Linked DNA regions of Mytilus edulis. The protein of the gene in region 1 binds, or shares a complex with, the protein of each later gene. Links are inferred from orthologs where the notes say so. Each region holds a gene or a part of one and is shown on either strand. Other genes may lie near its edges.

Region 1 (10,870 bases):
ATGCATTTTACACATAACCAAATACTATGATACACACGCTTTTTACCTGTAAGTTACCTTTTCTTTAAATGTATGTCAGATGCACATGTGTGTTGTTGGAGTTACATATGTACTTTAAGTAATCGATCTCCATGTTTGTATTTTTACAAGAGTTTCAAATCAGGTTTGTAAAGATTTTATTTTGCTTAAATGAAAACACTTTATGGAAATGAAAGATTTATTCAAAATATGAATTAATTAGACAGTAACTAAACAAGTTAAATTAAACCTCATAAAAAAATATCTTGAGATTAATATATGCATCTAACAATTTTATAGACTAGTACATGTCGCAATCGGCCCGAGTCTAGGCAAGTTGTGAAGAAATACAACAGAAACTAACAAAGTCCCAGCAAGCAATACCTAAGTTGTGGTATCATACCTGAATAGCGAGCCACGGTATCGAAGTTATAGTATAGAAACAAGCGATAGCCTTTCAAAAAGTGCTATATTCGACTCTTAGCTGATGACAATGGAAAGAGCTCTCGCTTTGTAGATTAATTCATTTACTAGAATAGCCAGGTGCATCAATCAACAAATTTTACCACACACGTGAGGTCACACGTTATGAAATAGTATCGTTTAACGTTGTTGTTTACTCCAGAAGATTCGTCTATTCATAGATAAAAGTTACCTGTGTAAAATCTAATTGCTAAGATAGAGACGACAAATCCGATACTCTACGGGATTGAAGGACATTTACTAGGTTTGGATTGTCCTAACCAATCAATAAATTTTGATTATTCACGACTCGTAATATCTTCCAATCAGGTAGCAAGAAAAATTCACGTCATAAGTGTCCATCGTTCAATTCTTAAGGAATTAAAATATGCAGTATTACACCCTCCGTCATCAAAAATGTTTAATTAACAATTTGCACAGGTTTGGTTTCCTCCGAGTCAATTTTGCCACTTAATTAAATATACATGTATATATCGCAAATAGCTTGTAACGTCGTCTATCTACAGCCAGGTTTCAAATCGTCAAAAGAAAAACAGAGAATAATATAACAGTGAAACCTGTTTAAACCAAACCTTTTCGGGACTTAAGATTATGTTCAGTTTTGGCCGATGTTCGGTTTTATCAGGTTCACCGTGACAACTCGTACAATTTGATATGACGGTGCTTAAGAACATTTTTGGTTCATACAGGTTTTCGGTTTATGCAGGATTCGGTTAAGCCAGGTTTCGCTGTACATAAAAAAAAATTCAATGATGGACCTGAAAGCCTGGTCATTTCTGCATGTTATGAACATTCAAGTTTAATTGAGAAAAAAACCGAAATCAGATTAACAAATTCACTTGTTTGATATAAGCTTGAACGCTTGAAACGGTTTTTGGAACAACGTCAAAATGCTCTTATGATAGGGACGTCATGAAATACTCGCTTGTAACAACATCGTGCGAATCGTCGTCATCGTCTTTCGCTAACAGGCTTTATCTGTCATCTATGAAGAATACTCGACCACTGCTCGTCATCAGATAGTTCAACATCTGCTGCCATTAGATATAAGAACCTAAATCTAGCTCCAATGTATTTGCATTCCTTCTATCTAATTTGCGTTGAATTTGATGTATCTCCATTAGAGGAGTTCTAAAGTCCTATAATGGAAGAATTGGAATGTCCATTGGCTCCATGCGAGGAGTTGTCTGATGTGTCGGTATATGTATAACGGGTGGGTCTGCTCTTTCCAATGATTTGTCTGTAGTCTGCAGTGTTGGTACAGTGGTTGGACCTTTGTTTTTGAGGTATTCATAATCTGTGTCTGTCAATGTCAGAAAACTGATCCAATTTTGTCTGTTTCCGTAAGACATAGGGAGGAAAAAATGAAAGAGTTTGATGAATGGTGTGTAGATGAACGGATGAATGCTTGTAGCATATGGAGGCAAAATAAACTTCCTGTACATCTTGGAATGTTTTATAGGTATGCCTTGTATACGCAAAACTGAAAAAGAAAAATAAGATTTTGTTGTAAAATAATGTACACTTTATGTGCGTTTTTTTATTTATTACAATAGTATTTTTTGTCTATTGGTGACAACTGCATATTGTAGTTGTATCAAAGATCTAATTAATTGTCATAACTATTTCAGTTACAGAGTACGACAGGGTTGTCCTTTTCTCCCTACCATATATGTTGTAAAACCTTATGAGTGAAATGTTATTTGATGTCTTAAAGATACTTCCAAATATACCTCTTAAACACAAACTTTTAGTATAAATCAGAAATTTAAAAATAAAAATGTTACAATTTGCTAATATCGTTTTAACCTACCTGAATTAACCGCTAAAACCCAAATGATAATAGATGACTTGAAAGTCATAATGTTATCTGCAGCTTTGTCTATATAATGGTTATCCTTTGTGTTACACCAAGAACACTATATTATACATATATAAACAGTAAGCCTATATAGATCTATATAGGAATACAGGTATTATATGGTACATAATTTTAGAATGAGTCTTTTTGCGTAATATGACGCACATAGTGACAATGGGTTTTATTATTAGTAACGACCAATGACATTGAACTATTTTTAATTAATGTAACTATTGGTGCAAAAAAAATGAATGGTGTCATAACTTTTGAACACATACAACTCCAAATGTGTTGCGTTTCGTGCGCTTATATACAAATGTAATTATTAAACAGGGTTTTATTTTAAAAGGATGTCAACTCAAAATTGTTATGAATGTCAAGTTATAGTCTACGAATTGTCGAATATCAAAATCCAAATTTAAATCTTACGGAAGCCTTTAAGGGCCATGTTCAATTACTTTATACAATTTGATATAACAAATTATTAATTTGATATAACAGATTATCAATTCGATATAACAGATTATCAATTCGATATAACAGATTATCATATACTTAGACTAAATAACCTATAAATTTTACCGTATGATAATAGCATTAAATTGACGTAAATTCCATATTTTTCGAATTGGTGCTTAGCGGGCTGATATGAAAAATTTATCAAATGCTTATCACATGCCTTTCCGTAACGTTATCACGTGGCATTCCGGTAATACTCGGCCAATTCCGGAAAATACACCTCAATGCTACGTTTTCAGTGAAAAACATTACAAAGTAGTGTACAAAACAACTATTTGAATACTGGAAAGAATATTGTTTAAAATCATAAAAAAAAAAAAAAATAATAATAAATGCATTTTTTAAGTTTTTCTGAAACATAATTTAGAAAGTTTCTTTAAAAAGTTGACTTTTCCAAACAATGATCATTATGTATATTGTTGAATTATTTTTTTGTCGATTCGTCCATAATAAATGGGTTTTTTTTTCTCGCTCTGTTGAGACATATGATAGAAAGATTTCATATTGAATGTATCAAATTTTGGGTCCGACGGCCGTGAACTTTTTTACTCTTTAAACTTCTGGAACCACGTAAAAGGATCAATATATGAATCTGTTATTTTTTTCTACTGTTGAAGCATATGATAAAAAGATCATAACATGTCATTTTTCATATCGCATGTATTATCAGCCCTCGGTCAATATCAGCCCTCGAGCCATGCGGCTCTTGGGCTGAGTATTGAACCTAGGGCTGATAATACATGCAATATGAAAAATGCCATGTAATAATATACAATTACTGTCTTTTGATGAGGTAAATATGCGGTTTTATTGACTTTTGAAAAATTGATATTCACTGAGGCCGACGGCCGAAGTGAATATCAGTTTTTCAAAAGTCAATTAAACCACATATTTACCGAAACAAAAGACAGTAATTGTTTTATTCCATATTCCGAGGAGATAAAATGTATTTGATGACAAACATAATACCAAAACAAATTTTACATGAAACATTTTACCATAACGTAGCATGTAAAAGCGCGTGACGTTTAGCGCGGTGAATAACACTTTCTCAGGTGAATATGCTTTTTTATTCAAAGTCCAATTCATATAGAGAAACCTACTAAAATAATACCAATATGGAATAATCTGATATTATCAATTTGGTATAACAGATTTTCAATTTTGATAATTATAACAATTTGTAAATTTGATATAACAAATTATTAATTTGATATAACAAATTATTAATTTGATATAACAAATTATTAATTTGATATAACAAATTATTAATTTGATATAACAAATGACCAATTTGATATAAAAAATTGTGAATTTCTCTACCAATAGGATAATTTTATCATAATAATGATTAATTTAAATATTGCATAACCCAAACTGGCGCATTTCGTGTACTAATTGATTGTTCATCGGACGTGCAGTGACAAATATCTAAGATCATCTAATGCATATTCAAAACTCAATTTACAGGTTTATTGTTTCTGTAACTCATCCTCCTCCCTTTTTTCTCCTTTATTTGATACATTTTTTTGGGGACTAGTTTCCCAATTTCGTATATGGGACTTTGTGTCTTAGAACGAACAAGTATAAGAGAGAAAAGGGCCTGTTTGATCAATATATATTGCATATTTTCAAAGGAAAACAAAGAGTTCTATTGAGATATTGCTTTTTCTAGGACCATAGGAACATGCAAGGATAAAAAAATATGCTTCACCTTCTTGAAAAAGCCTGGCATGATGCTTTAATGATTTCAACAGGAACATGAAAGGATAAATATTATAAATTTAGCTTTAACATATATTTTTTATTTGGATTTTTAAAAATTAAAATAAAGAAACATGCGTGAGATTTTTAATGATTGCTGACTTCTAATTAATTAATTAATTAGACCACTATGAGGTCCAAATTTTATATATTTGCTCAAAATTCGGATTTGTGTCGAAAGGAAAAATACGTCCACAAATCCGAATTTAGAGCAAATATATAAAATTTGGACCTCATTTTACTCAAAAAGTAGCACATTAAGGTAATTTTTTATAACATATTTGATTTAATCAGCCAAATAATAGCCTATATGCAAATTGTCATCAAAATTTCAATATGGGATCAAAATTGTATCGTATGCCCTTACCTTTTGAAGTGCAATGCCAACGGTCGTTCCCGAAATATATTTCATTTGAACTTATTATTTTACTTCAGACAAAAACTACAGTATATGTAGGACATAGTCTAGGTAACCTGGCATTTAAGGTAGCAGTAGCACTTCCCTCATATGATCATAAACTACTTAAAACTTTTTTTGAATTCTTCTATCGTTATATTCTTGTTTAATATGTCTCTGTCGATATTAAGATTTGGTTCTGAAGTTGGCTGTACCTATCTTTTTGTATATTTGTTATATTATCAATTTTTACAATTTTTCTTTGTTTTACTTATTTTATAAACCCTATATTTAAATTATCACATACTTATATTTGTAAACTAAAATTAAATCCATAGAACACAAATTTGAAATGGTCCAAATAAAAATCACTCAAGAAGGATCATCGAAACTACTAAAGAAATTCAAACTGCAAATATCAGGATCTGGGGAAGAAAAGTGATACGAGTTTTGTCAATACCCTTTCTCCATTCGGAATTAATCTTGTCGCGTAATCATACGCATGCGTATTGAACCAAAACAAACATGGATCACTTTTCCAGCTTCACAATCTTCCTATTACTTTCACAATGTTTTGGAAATATAGTAATGTTTTCAGGAATGTTAGATATAGAAGAAATAAACAACGTAAATTATGGAATCGATATTTTAAAAGAGCCAGTGTTGTTAAAGCCGGAGGTACAAATATGCAGGTTTTCTATACATCCCTCAACATATTTTTTTTTAGCAAATTCGGCCTGAGAAGATCTGAAAACACAGTTATTTTGTTGTGCATTTCTTTAAACCATAAATCTTAATTAAGAAAAATCTCACCTGTGATTTCTCAATTATATTTTTAAACTTTGTTGTGCTACTTTATATATTATAAATTATATCAAAATTATAGAAAACTTCATTATAAATTAAGATTTGTGTATCTTACTATACAAATCCTTGTTCAGCTTACTGTATACACATATTGATTAAAGAACTTATAATATTGCTTTTTTGGAAACTTCAGACCCTTGACCCAAGAATCTGTGACACTTGTCGAACTATTGATGTCATTGAACTTGACGTCGTGCATCAACCAACTTTTCATTGCAGAGTCTGGCATGTCCTGTTGTGATTTAACAAATTTTACTGGAACATTTGTGATGTCCAGTAATGATGGACAAATAGCGATATTAAGGTCACTGGTGTATTGTGTGTTAAAGGAAGGTTGACTATCCAAATAATACATACAGACAATTTTATATTTACCAGTGAGAGGCTTATTGGTAGTGTAAATTATTCTAAAATTTAATTTGTATTCTGTATGTTGCCCCATTTTAGCCATATTAGGGATGTCATGCACATACATCTTGTGATACCCATTGGATCCACAACTAGTTAGATATTAGCTACATTTTTTTGTAAATGTCAACATCTAATTAAAAATGAAATTCATTTAACTAAACACTAATGAATTGCTGTTTCTTTATGATGGAATGTATATTTCTAGGTAGAATTGCCGGTAAATCACATCCATTTAACGTCCAAATATGGACAGAGATATCAATGTCATTTTCCAGACCAAGTGGAAACAGTAAGAAAAACTGAAGAAAAGGAAAAAGAAGCTTTAGAAACTGGAATTCCTGAATTACTTAAACCATTAGAATCTGTACCTTGTTTGCTGAAGGTATATAATTTTTGATGTACTGTTTTAAAGGGACAGATTTTGTTTTTTTTTGCTTAAACTCTATAAAAATAACTTACATCTACATTGTATATAAAGCATGAAACCTTAGGGGATAGGAAATTCTGGAATGTCTATAATTACAGGTATATCATTCAGACCTATATTCAATGCTTTCTGACATAAAATCATTTCAACATATTGATCAGAATGAGACAAAATCGTTTTTACCAATTGTTTTATAATACCTAAACTTGTAAATGCTATTTAAATGGAGCAGAAAGAGAGAGAGGGGAATACACAAGATGATCAATTATTTTAGGAGTTTGGAATTATATAAGCTTCATCAACTGAGTATTTATCAGAAAATGTACCCTGTAAAAAGTGTATGCAAAACAGTGACTAAATGTACATTCAAAAGATTCTAGTTGAAACTAACACTGTAGATAGGCTTAGAATATTTAATTAAAAAAGAAAATTCATATCTGCCTAAGGCCACATATCTTCAAATTTTATAATATTCATTTAGTTCCTTTTTAGCTCACCTGGCCTAAAAGGCCATGTGAGCTTTTCTCATCACTTGGCGTCCGTCGTCGTCGTCGTTAACAATTTTTCAAACATCTTCTCCTCTGAAACTGCTGAATGGATTTGAATGAAACTTAAAATGATTGTTCCTTAGATTATCCTGCACAAAGTGTGTTCTTTAATTTTTGATCCGTCAAAAAACATGGCCGCCGTTACTTAAAATAGAACATAGGGGTCCGATGCAGTTTTTGGCTTATATCTCAAAAACGGAAGCATTTAGAGCAAATCTGACATGGGGTAAAAATGTTTATTAGGTCAAGATCTATCAGCTCAGAAATTTTCAGATGAATCAAACAAACCATTGTTGGGTTGCTGCCACTTAATTGGTAATTTTAAGGAAATTTTGCAGTTTTTGGTCATTATCTTGAATATTATTATAGATGAAGATAAACTGTAAACAGCAAAAATGATCAGCAAAGTAAGATCTACAAATAGATTAATATGACCAAAATTGTCAATTGACCCCTTAAGGGGTAAATGTCTTTTAATGACAATTTTTCACAATTTGTTCATCATATTTGCTAACTTTAAAAAATCTTCTCCTCTGAAACTACTGAATGGATTTGGATGAAACTTAGCATGATAGTTCCTTAGATTATCCTGCACAAAGTGTGTGCTTCGATTTTTGATCCGTCAAAAAACATGGCCGCCCTTACTTTAAATAGAACATAGGGGTCAAATGCAGTTTTTGGCTTATATCTCAAAAACGAAAGCATAGAAGAACTGTAAAGTGTACATGTCCAACTGGCAGGTGTCATCTCACCTTGACCTCATTTTCATGGTTCAGTGGTTATAGTTAAGTTTTTGTGTTTTGGTCTGTTTTTCTTATACTATATGCAATAGGTCTACTAAAATTGGTGTATAGAATGATTGTAAGGTGTACATGTCTAGCTGACAGGTGTCATCTAACCTTGACCTCATTTTCATAGTTCAGTGGTCAAAGTTAACTTTTTTAGTTTTGGTCTATTTTTTCAATACTTTATGCATTAGGTCAACTATATTTGGTGTATGAAAATATTTTATGATCTATATGTCGGTTACGCAGGTTTTATTTGAACTTGACCTCATTTTCACAGTCCATTGCTAAGTTTTAAGTGTTTGTGTTTTGGTCTCATTTTCTTTATTTATAAACAGTAAGTCATATATATTTGTAATATTGAAGAATTGTTAGCTGTACATGTTTGCCTGGCATGGTTCAATATGTTCAATAAGGCATTGTTTACCAGGTGAGCGATTCAGGCTCTTGAGAGCCTCTTGTTTGTTTGTTGTATCTTAAATTATTACCTTGAGTACATGTATATATTTTTTTCAGGCAAAGGATTGGTGGAGTTATGAGTTCTGCTATGGGAAATATATCCGACAATTTCATATTGAAGGTATAAAATAGAAATTAAAACTCTAACTGATGTCTGACAGAACTTTGAAATACTCAAATATTGTGCTTCAATAGGAGATGAAGTATTTTAGGTATCCTAGGCTCTTAAAATTGGTTTTGCTGAGTTTTTTTTGACTGAAAGTCGAAGTTAAAGTTTGTGATTTGGTCAGTTTAAGGGGAACCACAAGTTAAAAGTAAATGATATTTGGTCAGCAGTTGAATCAGTATCAGCACATTTTCATTTCCACGAAGATTATTTGGCCCTGCTCCTTCTGACATGGTTAGGGGATACCACCACTCCTTTCATTTAATTGATTGCTTAATATCCTGATCAGAGCTATGCATGAAAAAGGTTAAATACTAAACTTCAAATGATTTCCAAAATTTCATTAACATACTATCCCTGTTTTAAATTAATGTTGAAAATATCGAAAACTCTTTAAGACATCCATATCTTAAATATATCTTTGCTATAACTTTTCAAGTTCCCCAAAAGAGTTTTTTTTTCTTTCTCAGAGGTCATGTAATTCCTCTCTCATATTACAGGTTGCTAAAATGGGTCACATCCACAATGGGCCTGAAATTTAGGGACACAAAAGTTGGGGAGAGCCGCATCATGAAAGGAGTTTCTGGATGTGCTAATTTATAAAAAAATGAATCATACTTCCTTAACCTAACATTTAACCAAATAAAGTGAAACTGTTGCAGCTTCCAAACGAACCATCATACATATCCAAGTATACGATATGGACTGATTTTCAGAAGAAAATGTAATTACAACTGCCTATGGGAAATCAATTATGCATACTGACGTTAAAGACTCTTCAATACTTATTTCCCTTTACAGAACTTAGGACTAGAGTGTTCTTTTGAAGCCTTTCCTTTATTAAAGTGACTGTTGTGAATGATTGTGAGATATTTGTTTTGAATTGGAAAAACAATTCTTTAGTTATAGAATTTTTTGATTTTTTAAACAGTTTTTGCCCATAAAATTTTATGAAAATTCTACAACCTACAAATGTTATGCTATTATGTTTAAACCTAATCCTAATCTTTTCTAATTCTGTCATATTTCTATTTATCTTTAGTTATGGTAAGAAGGTCAAGCTTATCATTTCCTCGTGATTTGTCAGATTTTTGTTTACTTTTTCAGATGGAAAGATACTTGGAGATATTGTATATTTAGGTTACTATGACTCAGAGAAGGACTGGTCAGAAAGAGAAGAGGTAATTGACATACAGTGTAACACTGTTTCACAATCTGTCATCAATGGTAGTTAGATGTATTTTACAGCATCATTATGCATATCATGTGATATAATTTAGGCTAGTTTATTAAACAAAATGTCAGTAAATGTTAACAATTAGTCTCTATCACAATAGAGGACCTACATTTAATCAAGACTTTTAAAATGCAACCTAACCCAATCTGGGGTGTGGAAATATTTGTTGTGAGCACTTGTCCCTGGGCAAGTAAAACTAAAAATTTTACTTGTCCGGAAAAAAATTTACTTGCCCTGATGATCCCAATAAATATTGAAGTATTTCTTGATAGCTAATATATGATTTTTACTTCGCACTATTGTGCATCACAAACGAATGAAATCCATTTGTTTATATGTGTAAAAAATTAGGAAAGAATGAAATGGGTTAACATCAGTGGGACAGAAACCTAACAGCAAACCAACCAATGAAATGACATGTAAAGGACAATTTTGCAGCAGTTTTGGAATAAAAATTGTAGCCAGTAGGTACATAATATACTAAATTTGAGGACAGTGATTTCTTTTTTTTTTAAATACTCTGTGTCCTCCGTTTGCATTTAAGGTTTTCTACTCGACTCATGATTCTTTTTGTCTTGGCTGCTTGCCCAGCTTTTTATTACGTATTTGTCAATCTGAATCTCGATACAAAATTTAAAGAAATGACACAACCGGTAAATGATGGATAACACTTAATCGACGATCCAGGGTCAATGGACAAAGCCAATGCAATGTTACGCGACTCTGGTTCAAATACTTATTGTTATTTATTTTGGCAATCGATCTATTTCCAGTATCATGTAATATTTATCGTCATGAACATTGGTGTTTTTACTTGCTGAAGATTGGTTTCTTTTACATAAATTAAACATCTTTATACGTTTTGAAATTAATTTTATATTTTTGTTGGATTTGAACTTTGTCTTTTACATGTTGTATATTTTTTTAC
Region 2 (10,810 bases), on another chromosome or scaffold:
CATGGCAACGGCCAATTGCACATCTGCCCATGGTAGTTATATATTGTTCCATCAACTTGGGTCTTTTCAATTCCGAGATCCAGAGTGGACAAAAAAGTGTGGAAGAAAAATAAAAAGAAGACTAGATTTGCCATTGCAAGCAATAACGGATGATGTCACCCCGTTCTGGACATTGGCACAGCAGCAACAACCGATTTGAGCGTACCAAAGTCACAGGGCACGTCTAGTACATTGTATACATGCCTTTGCCCCCCCCCCCCCCCCATTTTTTCTCTTCTCGTAGAATAAGATTGATGTCTATATATGGTCGGGGAACTCTTTAAAATCTTAAATTAGACACACGCGCGAGGAAGAAAAGTGGTGTCACGTGATACTGAAGTATATTATCGTGGACTTTAATATTCTTTTTAGAGGGGACCTTGGACAGACAACATGTGTATATATTGACCATGTTGACAGAGCGACACACTAACTGTTCATTTTGTTCTTCAATAGCTCGCGTATCACACGATACATGTATCTTATTTTGTACAATTTAATTACACGCTTATCGATTGATTTCAGCTAAGGCAGCAACTATTTAATTTCCGGGTGGGGGGGGGGGGGGGGGCTATGTTTTTTTTTTCTGTACAAACAAGTCGAAAACAATTTTTTTCTTTCAATTTTAGCATTACATATAGTGGCAGCTGAGGGGGTAACAAACAATTATTTTTTTTCAGAATTCAAAACGAATTATTTTTTTCTCCAAAAACTGGAAACAAACTTTTTTTTCCAAAAAAAAATCATAGCCCCCCCCCCCCCCCCCCCCCCCAAGAAAATCAAATGGTTGCTGCCTAATGTGTATATTGTAGCAGGTGTTCGATTAACGAATGTGTACTTTAGTGCAAGTGCAGAAATGTCACTTACGTGTACTCTTCGTGTTTCTCTTTCTCATGTGTTTCTCTCAGTGGCGATTTTCTCTTCAAAGCACGATTTTTGTAAAGAATAGAAGCACGTCAAAAAATATATTAGTTTTATTCTAGCATATTCTAGAAGATGTTTTGCAGTACAGCTAGATTTGTATTTGATCGTATGCACATACTCATGATTACAGAATTTTGACTCAAATTTGCGAAGTGTGTTATGTTTATTATTTTGCCGTTTCCATGACAACGGCGGCAAAAACCATTTTGAAAATGGCAAGGACAGATGCCGTTCCAATAGCATTTAACCGGGAATGAGCTTAAAATTTGTAAGAAAATGGTACTTTGACGTTTTTTCCCATATGGGTCAACATTGCACTTTTATCCTTATCTCCATGGTAACAGTAGCAATCTCAAAAATTCCAACGGCAATGAATTCTACCGTTCATACTCTTGTTACGCGGGGGTAGGTTTGGGGGTCGTATCTGTAACGGTTGATTTACTATGAATTAATTGAGGAATTATTTTCGTTTCAGTTTCCACGTTTGGACTGTTTCCATGGCAACGGTAGCCATTTTGAAAGTTTTTAAGATGGATTTCATGCTTTCGAATGATGAGTTATAATGTCTGAAAGTTTCATTTAATTTTGAGCATTTTTCGGTTTTTCACATTTTTGCCCTTTCCGTGGTTACGGCGGCCATCTTGAAAATTCCAGACCCTCACTGCACATCTGCACATGGGAATTGTCACTATGGTACAGTTTTATCAATGTATATCAAGTCATCTCCGAGAACTAAGCTGGACAAAAAGTGTGGAAGAATAATTCGGAACAATAACAATATATCACCCCTATTTCCATAGGGGTGAAATAAATAAAAAGAAACGTAGAATACCAATACGTCACCACAACTCCGTTGAGGATGCAATAAAAACATCTGAAACCGCTTGTTCAACGTATACTAGTTTATTTAGCAACAGATTGGTTTGTTTGATCAAGTATATATACATATGGTGGCCTAAATTGACAATTTAAGTCTTGAAATGATGATTTAGAGGCATGTTTTAAAGGTTATTCGTCAGTATGATTCAATTCAACCTGAAAATCAAATGGATAAGTTTTGTTGTATTATCTTAATTGGGCGTTTTTCAATAAAAACGTACTTTCTTGTCCCAGCCACTTTTAAAAAAATGTGTTTGATCTTTGCAAGTAATTGCATGTTTGTGCAGTCAGTACATTGAATTAGATTTAACATTTTAAAGCAAAGAAACAGTTTATTTTTTAGAGGGATTGATAAGATATTGATTCCTGAATGGTCCAAAACAACCCGGCAAAATGGCATATCCTTAGACCGCCTGTTCAACATTCATACTCTAAAATATCGTAAAAAAATGTAGAAATAAATGTTATTTTTACTTAATATAAGTTCTTTGATAATTCAAAAGTATGTTTAGAGCCAACATAATTTTATAAACAGCTTTTAACATAGGATTTTTAATTTCAGAAGGTGTGTCCCTGACAAAATGACCACTACGAAACGAAGTCATTAAAATTTGCTAATAAACAGTTTTATAAAATCAATATAATTTTGTTTGCAAGAGATATAAACATTAGGGTCTTACAAAAGAATTGATGCTTTTATAACGGCAATTAAATTGTTGGTAAGAAAAATTGAGCACATCAAATGGACCAGAGTGATACCGTATTTTTGTTAATGTCCACTACGAAACGGGTCAAATCTCTTTCAGAATCTGGTTTTAAAATTATGAAAAAAATATCAGTGTACAGCTTAATACATGTTTTGATGAATACAATCAGTATTGTTACTATTGCAATACAGGGATTGTTGGTAAAAAATAAAACATGTGAATATGTCCCCTACGAAACGGTCACCTACGAAATAAGTATGGGAGAAAAACGTTTCCGTAGTGGACACTACCACTACCATGCAGCCTTTTTTTACTCTTTTTTTCAATTTTACTCGTGCAAAACAAATAATAAGGGTTAGTTTCATGTAATTTTTTTTTTTTTTTATTAATATGGAATAGGGTTGATGTCCAACTCCACTACAAAACGGTTTTGTAAACTACGAAACGCATCAAAATGTCCACTACGAAACATGAGTTGTACCTTCATATGTGAAGTACTGTCTAATCTTTATCGATAAAAATGGTTCTCCGATTCAGAAAAAATGAGATTTTTCTAGTATATATAAAAGTAAACAAACTGGAATGTCTATAGCAAACATTTAAAATTGCAATAATATGTGTGTTTACAAGCAGTTTCGTAGGGGACTTTTTACGAAACAGTAGACAAATTATGAAAATAATATCATTTTAAAGAGTATTTAAGATTGCACTTTTTGTTTACAAATAGGTCTATAATAGAGGTATTCAAAATAATGAAATAACCCTTGAAATAATTTTAGACAATTTGATTTTCCGTTTTTATAGGTCTGAAAGTCACGCTTTTATTAAAAAAAAACGCCCAATTATGAAATTCTTACTTATATTTCTGACATTATATCAGAACGTGCGTGGATATGTTCATAGAGAACAGAAACAAATATTAAATAAAACTTCATTGTTTATTTAATAGATATCATATATACAAAGTCTGAGATTTTTTATTCAATTGAATGAGACACTTAACATTATTCCTTTGATGTATGTACAAGACGGCACGTCACTTTTATTCTATATTTTTGTAGAAAGGATAATTGATCTTTATAGAAATGGGGAATTTGCTGTACATAAGTAGCAAATCAATAAGGAACTGACGACAATTTAAATGTTTAACTTCAGGAGGGTATGGTTTTTCTTAAAAACAATTAATTTTATAAAAAAAAGAAAAAAAAAGTGGTCAAGCAGATAACAAAAAAAATGTTCTGAATCTAGATTTTCACCATACCTTATAATGTTATTTTTTTTATTTTCTGACTCATATCCCCCCCTTTTTTTTTTAAAGAAAAAGTGTACCCTAAAGAGATTTTTTTTGCAAAAAATCCACAGACTTAAGGTAGCACAATACAAAGATTTTTTCACTCCCAATCAGACAACTTTAAACTGATGTAATTCATTTCATCCTTCTTTGTATTTTATAAATGAGGTACCAAAAGAAAGAAGAAAGATCAATCTTTTACATTGTGTTAATTTCATTATGACATAATTATTACATAATTAATTGTTATGTAATTAGTTGCTATATTGTGATGTCCACACTTGAATGAATTTAGCGTCTTAACTATTCATAGCATCCCAAAATATTTTATAGATTCCTGTACAACACAGCTTGACCTCCCAAACTGTGTCTCAGATTTCCAAAAACATCAATAGAACAAATTTTATACCCAATTGAATTTAGTGATCTCTATGAATTGATGTTGCGAACTTCATTGAAGATTTATGAGAGAATGAAATACAATAGGAAAAATCTGAGACACAGTTTTGGAGGTCAAACTGTGTTGTGCAAGAATCTATAAAATATTTTGGGATGCTATGAATAACAAAGATGCTAAATTCATTCAAGTATGGACATCACAATATAGCAAATAATTACATAACAATTAATTGTGTAATAATTATGTCATAATGAAATTATCACAATTTGAAAGATTAATCCTTCTTCTTTCTTTTGGTACCTCATTTATAAAATTTAAAGAAGGATGAGTGGAATTACATCAGTTTAAAGATGTCTGATTAGGGATGAAATATCTTTGTATTGTGCTACCTTAATAAATATTAAAATTGTAAACATAGATAACTAACTGATTTATGCATGTTTTGATAGCGTTTATTTTCTACAAATATTCCTGATTAATCGGCTTTACAATCCAAAAGCGTCATGCTGAGTTCCTATAAAATTAGGTAAACGGACAGAAAGTCACAGGACAAAAAGTCACAGGACATAAAGTCACAAATTTGGTAGGACAAAAGGTCACAGGACAAAAAGTCACAAATAATCTGTTGACAATTGTTTGAATACATTTATATAAGAGAAATATCTTGAAACATGTGAAATATTAACTTTTTAATACATATATTTATATTAAAGTTAAGGAAGTGTGTCATTATATTTGACAAACGAAGATTTATTTAATTTCAATCATGCAAAAGAAAGATTTCTTGGCATCATGAAGCCATTAATTTAAGTGCCAAGACACTTTGACATTTTGTTTTTTTTAACAATTATTTGATCATCTTAGATATGTTTTTGAAAAATTTTGTTTATAAAGTTGGTTTATATACAATAGTTCAAGAAAAATACAAAAATAATTTTGTGAAAATAAACATTTTTTATTCAAAGAAAATAATCAGAAAAAATGAATTGTGACTTTTTGTCCTGTGACTTTTTGTCTGTGACTTTTTGTCCTGTGACTTTCTGTCCTACATTCTAAAATTATAACGCACATTAGAAAGCGTATTTGGTCTTTTTTCATACTATGTCTACTTATATATTTGCAATAATCATCTGTCCATTGTCCAAATTGTAAAACATAGGCTGATTTACAAGAGGGAAGCCTGCTGTGGATTATTTTAAAATATAATTTTCATGGTTATCATTGAAACAACTTGCAGTGGCAGATCTAGAAATTTTCAAATGGGGAAGGGAGCACTGACTGCCCTTAGAGGATGCCCGCTTCAGTCATGCACAAATGATTTTTAATATTCCCATAAATTTGGGATCGTTTTGGTCTATCTCATTTTACAGATTGAATGGTGATTAGTCACACCAGTTTTGACAGTATGGCGGAAAAGAAGAAAAAATACAGCGAAATGGACAAGAAAACAATGAAAAACTCAGATTTTAGCCCCAAGAACTTTACAGAAAACCCAGAAAATGGACAAAACAACTTTAAACAAAGATCCAACAAACAATCAACACGAGAAGAAAACAAAAACACAATAAACATGCGTGAATATGCTCGGCAACTGGCCCCATGGATTCACCAGTACAGATTATGGACTGCTATTTCAACTTTACCACCAACTTTCCCCCACCAGACAATGAGCTGTTTTCAGTTCGGGGGCCAACAGACATTTCAATCGTTTGGTTCTGCGCCTGTTTATCCAACTACTAACCCAATTATTCATAATCAGATCGGTGCAACCCCTCAGGCTCAAAATCGAAATCAGAGAAACGTTTCTACAGGACAAGGAACAACAACAAATAGATTAGGTATTTCAGAAATTTGTGTTGCCTAATTAATATTTAAAATTAAGAATGGAAATGGGGAATGTGTCAAGGAGACCAACAACTAGCATGTGACCAAACTAATAACAGAAAAACAGCCAACAACACAGTAAGAAAATTCCACACCCGGAGGCTTGCTTCAGCAGGCTCCTAAACAAAATATGTACTAGTTCAATCAAGGATTTGTATAGTAAGATCTTACTATACAAATCCTTGGTTCAATGAATAGGGACGTCACAACAAACTCCAATGAATAAAGTAAAATAAAATAACTATTTGGCTAACGTGTCGTTAATATCAAAAACAAAATACAGGGTATATCAGGGTAGCGCCTGATATTGGACTTAATAGCAAAATGGCGCTGAATTATGAAATATGAGTACATGTGATGCTACATTCCTAAAGTACATGTATGATGTAAAAGTAATGTGCAAAAAAAAAAGGCGCCAACCTACACACATGACACATGCTACAGAATAAAATTAACATTTTGTAAGTTTCTTTTTATACAGTCAAAAGACTTACATTTGTAATTTATTTTTGGCATTGATTATTAAATGATGTATGCTCTAACTTTACAAGTGCACAGATAAGTCTGTAGTAAAGTAAATTTATGGCATAAACATACATGCATACATGTATATGTAGCTTGTCTGTTCATTTTGATGGACCATGTACATGATGTAATGCATTTCCATTTTGAAATTTCAGGTACAGAATATATGTTACCACCCTTATGGAAGAGAGTTCTAGCAGAAGTGATAGACTTTATTGTATTATTTTACCTGAAAATCATAATCATGATTATGGTGATGAGACAAATGGGTATTTTGTAAGTTTTTTGTTATATCATTATATCATTATAACCGATTATATTACTATCTTTTAGTTGTGGTTATTTCAAAATGTAATTTTTAGTCATCAATTTTATATTATATTTTGTATCGGCAATCCTTTGGTGAATCCACTACTCTCCTATCTAAGATGAAGGTACGGAATCAGCCAAGTTGTGACGAGTGAATTTTGCCCCTTAAGGGATGGGTAGAAACCTTTTACTTCAATGAAAATTGTACAGCCTCCAACCTGGAGTAAACCCTATATTATGAAATGTATATATACAATGTATGATTTAATTTTTTTTGGATATTTTCTTGGCACTTTTATACTCTTTCATATACACATGATACTGTGATGTTTAATCAAATGTTAGGAATCAGAATTTATTTGAATTTTGAAGTTTTAATGAGCTTTATCTATATGGTATATATACATTTATAAATATTTATTTTTCTTTCAGAAAAACAGAAAATGTGTTGAATGTTCATATTGATGTTGTCCCATATTTTGACCTGAAAAACATGGAGATGGACATAGATAAAGCCTTTACAATGACGTCAGAAATAATAGCTTTAGAAATCGTCAACAGAATAATGATCACTTTATTTGAGGTACAACTGTATTTCAACTTTGAATGTTTAGAAGGAAGGGGAAAGTTTGTCTAAGAATTTAATATGTATGTGCAAGAGTTCTGAATCAGTTGGTTGGTCCTTGTACATGTATCATGTTTGTGAAGTTTAAAAAAGATGTAAGAGAGAGCCAGCATTTATGTTTAGAGCAAAGAATTGTGAAAACTGTTGCAGACATGTATGTTGATGATATCAAGTGGAAAGTATTTACAACTTTCTATAAGATAAAGAATTACTTGTTATAGTTCAATGATTTTACTCCTGTTTGTTGTTAAAAAAACCATTAATAATTTGAAATTTCTCTTTTTCATTTTAGACGTTCTGCTTGCGGAAAGGAATGGGATCACCAGGTGGAGCCACTCCTGGAAAAAGACTCCTTGGAATGGTGGTTGTATCGTGTGAAAATATCATGGATCTGGGGAACGGGAAAGTTTTAGTCATTCCTGCAGAGGATATAGGCTTTATTAAGTAAGTTTTCAAATAGAATTGACAATATAACTGTCCAAGTTTGCATAATCAAATGGAACCAAAAAATATATATTTTGCTTAAAAAAATTATGACATTATGGTAAAACTCTTTAAAGATACAAGGCTTCTAATTTTGTAAACCAGATGTGAATTTGATTGATCTGCAGTTTGATTCTTAACATAAATTTGAAGATACTTGAAATGGTAGAAATATCCAAACATACAGACCGGTAAATATAAAGTAGCATACAAAAAAAGAGAAGAGTACATGTATTTGAACAAAATAGATTTGATATGGTATTAAACCCTGTTTTAAGGGATATATATACCTAATGTTAACAGAGTGCTTTAAACATGTTAAATAAAAGGTTTCTGAGAATAAAAAAATTGCAGTTATTCTTTCTTTAATCAGTTAGTGTTTATATATTAAAATAATAATAGAGTAATACAATTTTAAATATATTTACGTTTTTATGACCCCTTAAAACATGTTAATTTAACATACAAAGTTGAAATTATCTAGTCAAAGGGAGATAATCTCTCATATTTTTTAATACATTTTTCAGTCAGAGGTCGAAAGTGTTTCTACACTAAAAAAATACAAATTATATTTTAAATAAAAATGTTTTCAAGTTTTTATTGAAATATAACTATTTAATAGAATTATATCTGCAGTTTCTTTCTACAATTTTAAGATATGATTCAAACTTCTAGAGAAATTACCGTTTATGGACAAATCTGAATGTCTGCAAGACTTAAAATATTATATGGTTAATTGGAAACATTATGATACTAAATTTCAATATATTTTTTTTTTAAGCTTATGACTTTTAAGAAATGACAATAGTATGGAAAAAATTCATTAGAATGGATCTAAATATTGACAATGTTATATTTTATTTTTCAGTGCCTTGGTCAGATCTGTGATAAAGAATTTCACACTAGCATTCTTTTTTCCTGCCTGTTTAACTGTGTTCTTTTTCCAACATAACCGAGCAGCATATGACATTTTAGCCAAGACAATAGTTGTGGAGCACATACGTCCAGTTCAGCGAAATGTGCGATAGCAAATATATGTTAATTTTAATATGATAGATACTATTTGTTACAATTCTATTTGTTTTATGTTTTATGTAATGTGTTTTTATGATGATGTTGTTTTACAAAACCTATCATTGCCCTTTATTATGATTATAAAATTTTAATCACAATTTCATTAAAATTTAAAGCTTCATATTATAACAATTTATTATGTGTTAATTGACATTTTGTTTTTCCAATACATTTTAGAATAACTTTCTGACATATATGTAAGTTTTCAAAACATTCTTTTTTTCTGAAATTTATTGTATCAGAGCAAACCAGCTATATGGGGAAATTTTTGGCACCAGAAACCAAGAAAAAAGGCTGAAATTGAGATGCAGTTACAAACTTTAATGAAAAAGCAATTTAATATAGTATAAATTACAAGATTGGATGATACTTTTCAACATCAGCAATAAGGTATTAAGTTGAACAAAACTCATTTCAAATTTATTACCTTCATATGTCACCCTTATGTAATTATATATAGATTCTTATATTGATATCAATGGATTATCAGATTTATCCAATCAAGATAGGTAAATTATTAATTTCAAAGTCAGAGCCTTGGCAAGGACTTTAAAATTTATAATTCAACTTTAGAATGGATAAATCCGATAATTCATGAAAAACTATGTAAAAATCTGTTTCTTTAATGATGAAAAAAATAAATTTTAAATTTTTGTTAAACTTAAATCCTTATCGAGTGCCTCGCACATTCCAAAAAACAATTTCATTAAACCTGTTAGCATATTTTGATCCATCCTGGTAAAGGTTATGACCCTTATATTCATTCAATCATCTTCTGAGATCACCGGCAACCACAGGTTTATTATTTTTGGGTTAGAAACAGTAAAAATTTCCATAAAATTAGAGACATGTGGAATGACTGTACATTGTCTGGAAATATAAAAATATTTTTGTACAAGACTCAGACATATTGGAAACAGGAAGTTTCCCCCAGCATTTTAATTCTTTTCGAGCCTAGTACAAATAAAATTTACATTGAGGGTCAATGTATGGGTTATTTTTTTCTCCCACAACTGTTTCAAATGAAATATTTGGATAAAAAAAAAAAACTTTTAATTTAAAGCTAATGACTTAAAAGATTCTGTGAAGCTGTATTCTTTATTGACGTCATAAATAAAACTCTACAGAAACTCTTTATTTGTAGGTGACATATCTATATAAAAATGTTGTGCTCATTTATAGCTGGGATATGCTCTATATCAAGGCAAGAAACAATTCTCTTGTTACATTATGTTTTCTATCATTGATGTATTATATGGTCACATGGTGTATAAATTTGTGATATTTTGTACTGTGTATGTGAATCATTTATTAAGGCGAAATTGATGAGAATGAGTTGACTTGTATTCTTGCCATATTGTTTTTTACGGTTTAAAAAAATATGTGATACCTTTGTAAAGCTTCATGCACAAATTACTGTTCAATTCTGTGGATTTGTCTTATTTCATAAAGTAAAAGTAATAAATTCCTTTGAAAAAGCTCATTAATGGAAGAATGCAAAAAGTCAGTTGTTATCTTATATATGTCCTGCTTAGGTGTTATGATCACTCTGAAATTTAATGTTCAGTCAATTAAAACATAGATAAATTGATGGGGTAACAAGAGATTATTTCCATTTTAAGATAATAAAAAATTGCCATGGGAACAATTATCACTAGAAGATTGATTTT

Evidence for each region.
Region 2: protein OS-9-like (region 1) and protein FAM8A1-like share a complex: the UniProt entries of both Homo sapiens proteins name them as parts of the HRD1 complex. The link is inferred for Mytilus edulis from reciprocal best matches to the Homo sapiens genes OS9 and FAM8A1.

The regions. Positions count from the first base shown.
Region 1 is NC_092345.1:81,441,222-81,452,091, forward strand, and holds the start of protein OS-9-like, read left to right. Parts: upstream 1-5,532; 5' UTR 5,533-5,567; coding exon 5,568-5,720; intron 5,721-6,525; coding exon 6,526-6,702; intron 6,703-8,596; coding exon 8,597-8,660; intron 8,661-9,812; coding exon 9,813-9,886; intron 9,887-10,870. Other genes in the region: uncharacterized protein, read right to left, coding at 1-15. UniProt on the Homo sapiens protein: Lectin component of the HRD1 complex, which functions in endoplasmic reticulum (ER) quality control and ER-associated degradation (ERAD).
Region 2 is NC_092355.1:54,898,686-54,909,495, forward strand, and holds the start of protein FAM8A1-like, read left to right. Parts: upstream 1-5,627; 5' UTR 5,628-5,645; coding exon 5,646-6,078; intron 6,079-6,804; coding exon 6,805-6,925; intron 6,926-7,390; coding exon 7,391-7,541; intron 7,542-7,875; coding exon 7,876-8,027; intron 8,028-8,934; coding exon 8,935-9,094; 3' UTR 9,095-10,810. UniProt on the Homo sapiens protein: Plays a role in the assembly of the HRD1 complex, a complex involved in the ubiquitin-proteasome-dependent process of ER-associated degradation (ERAD).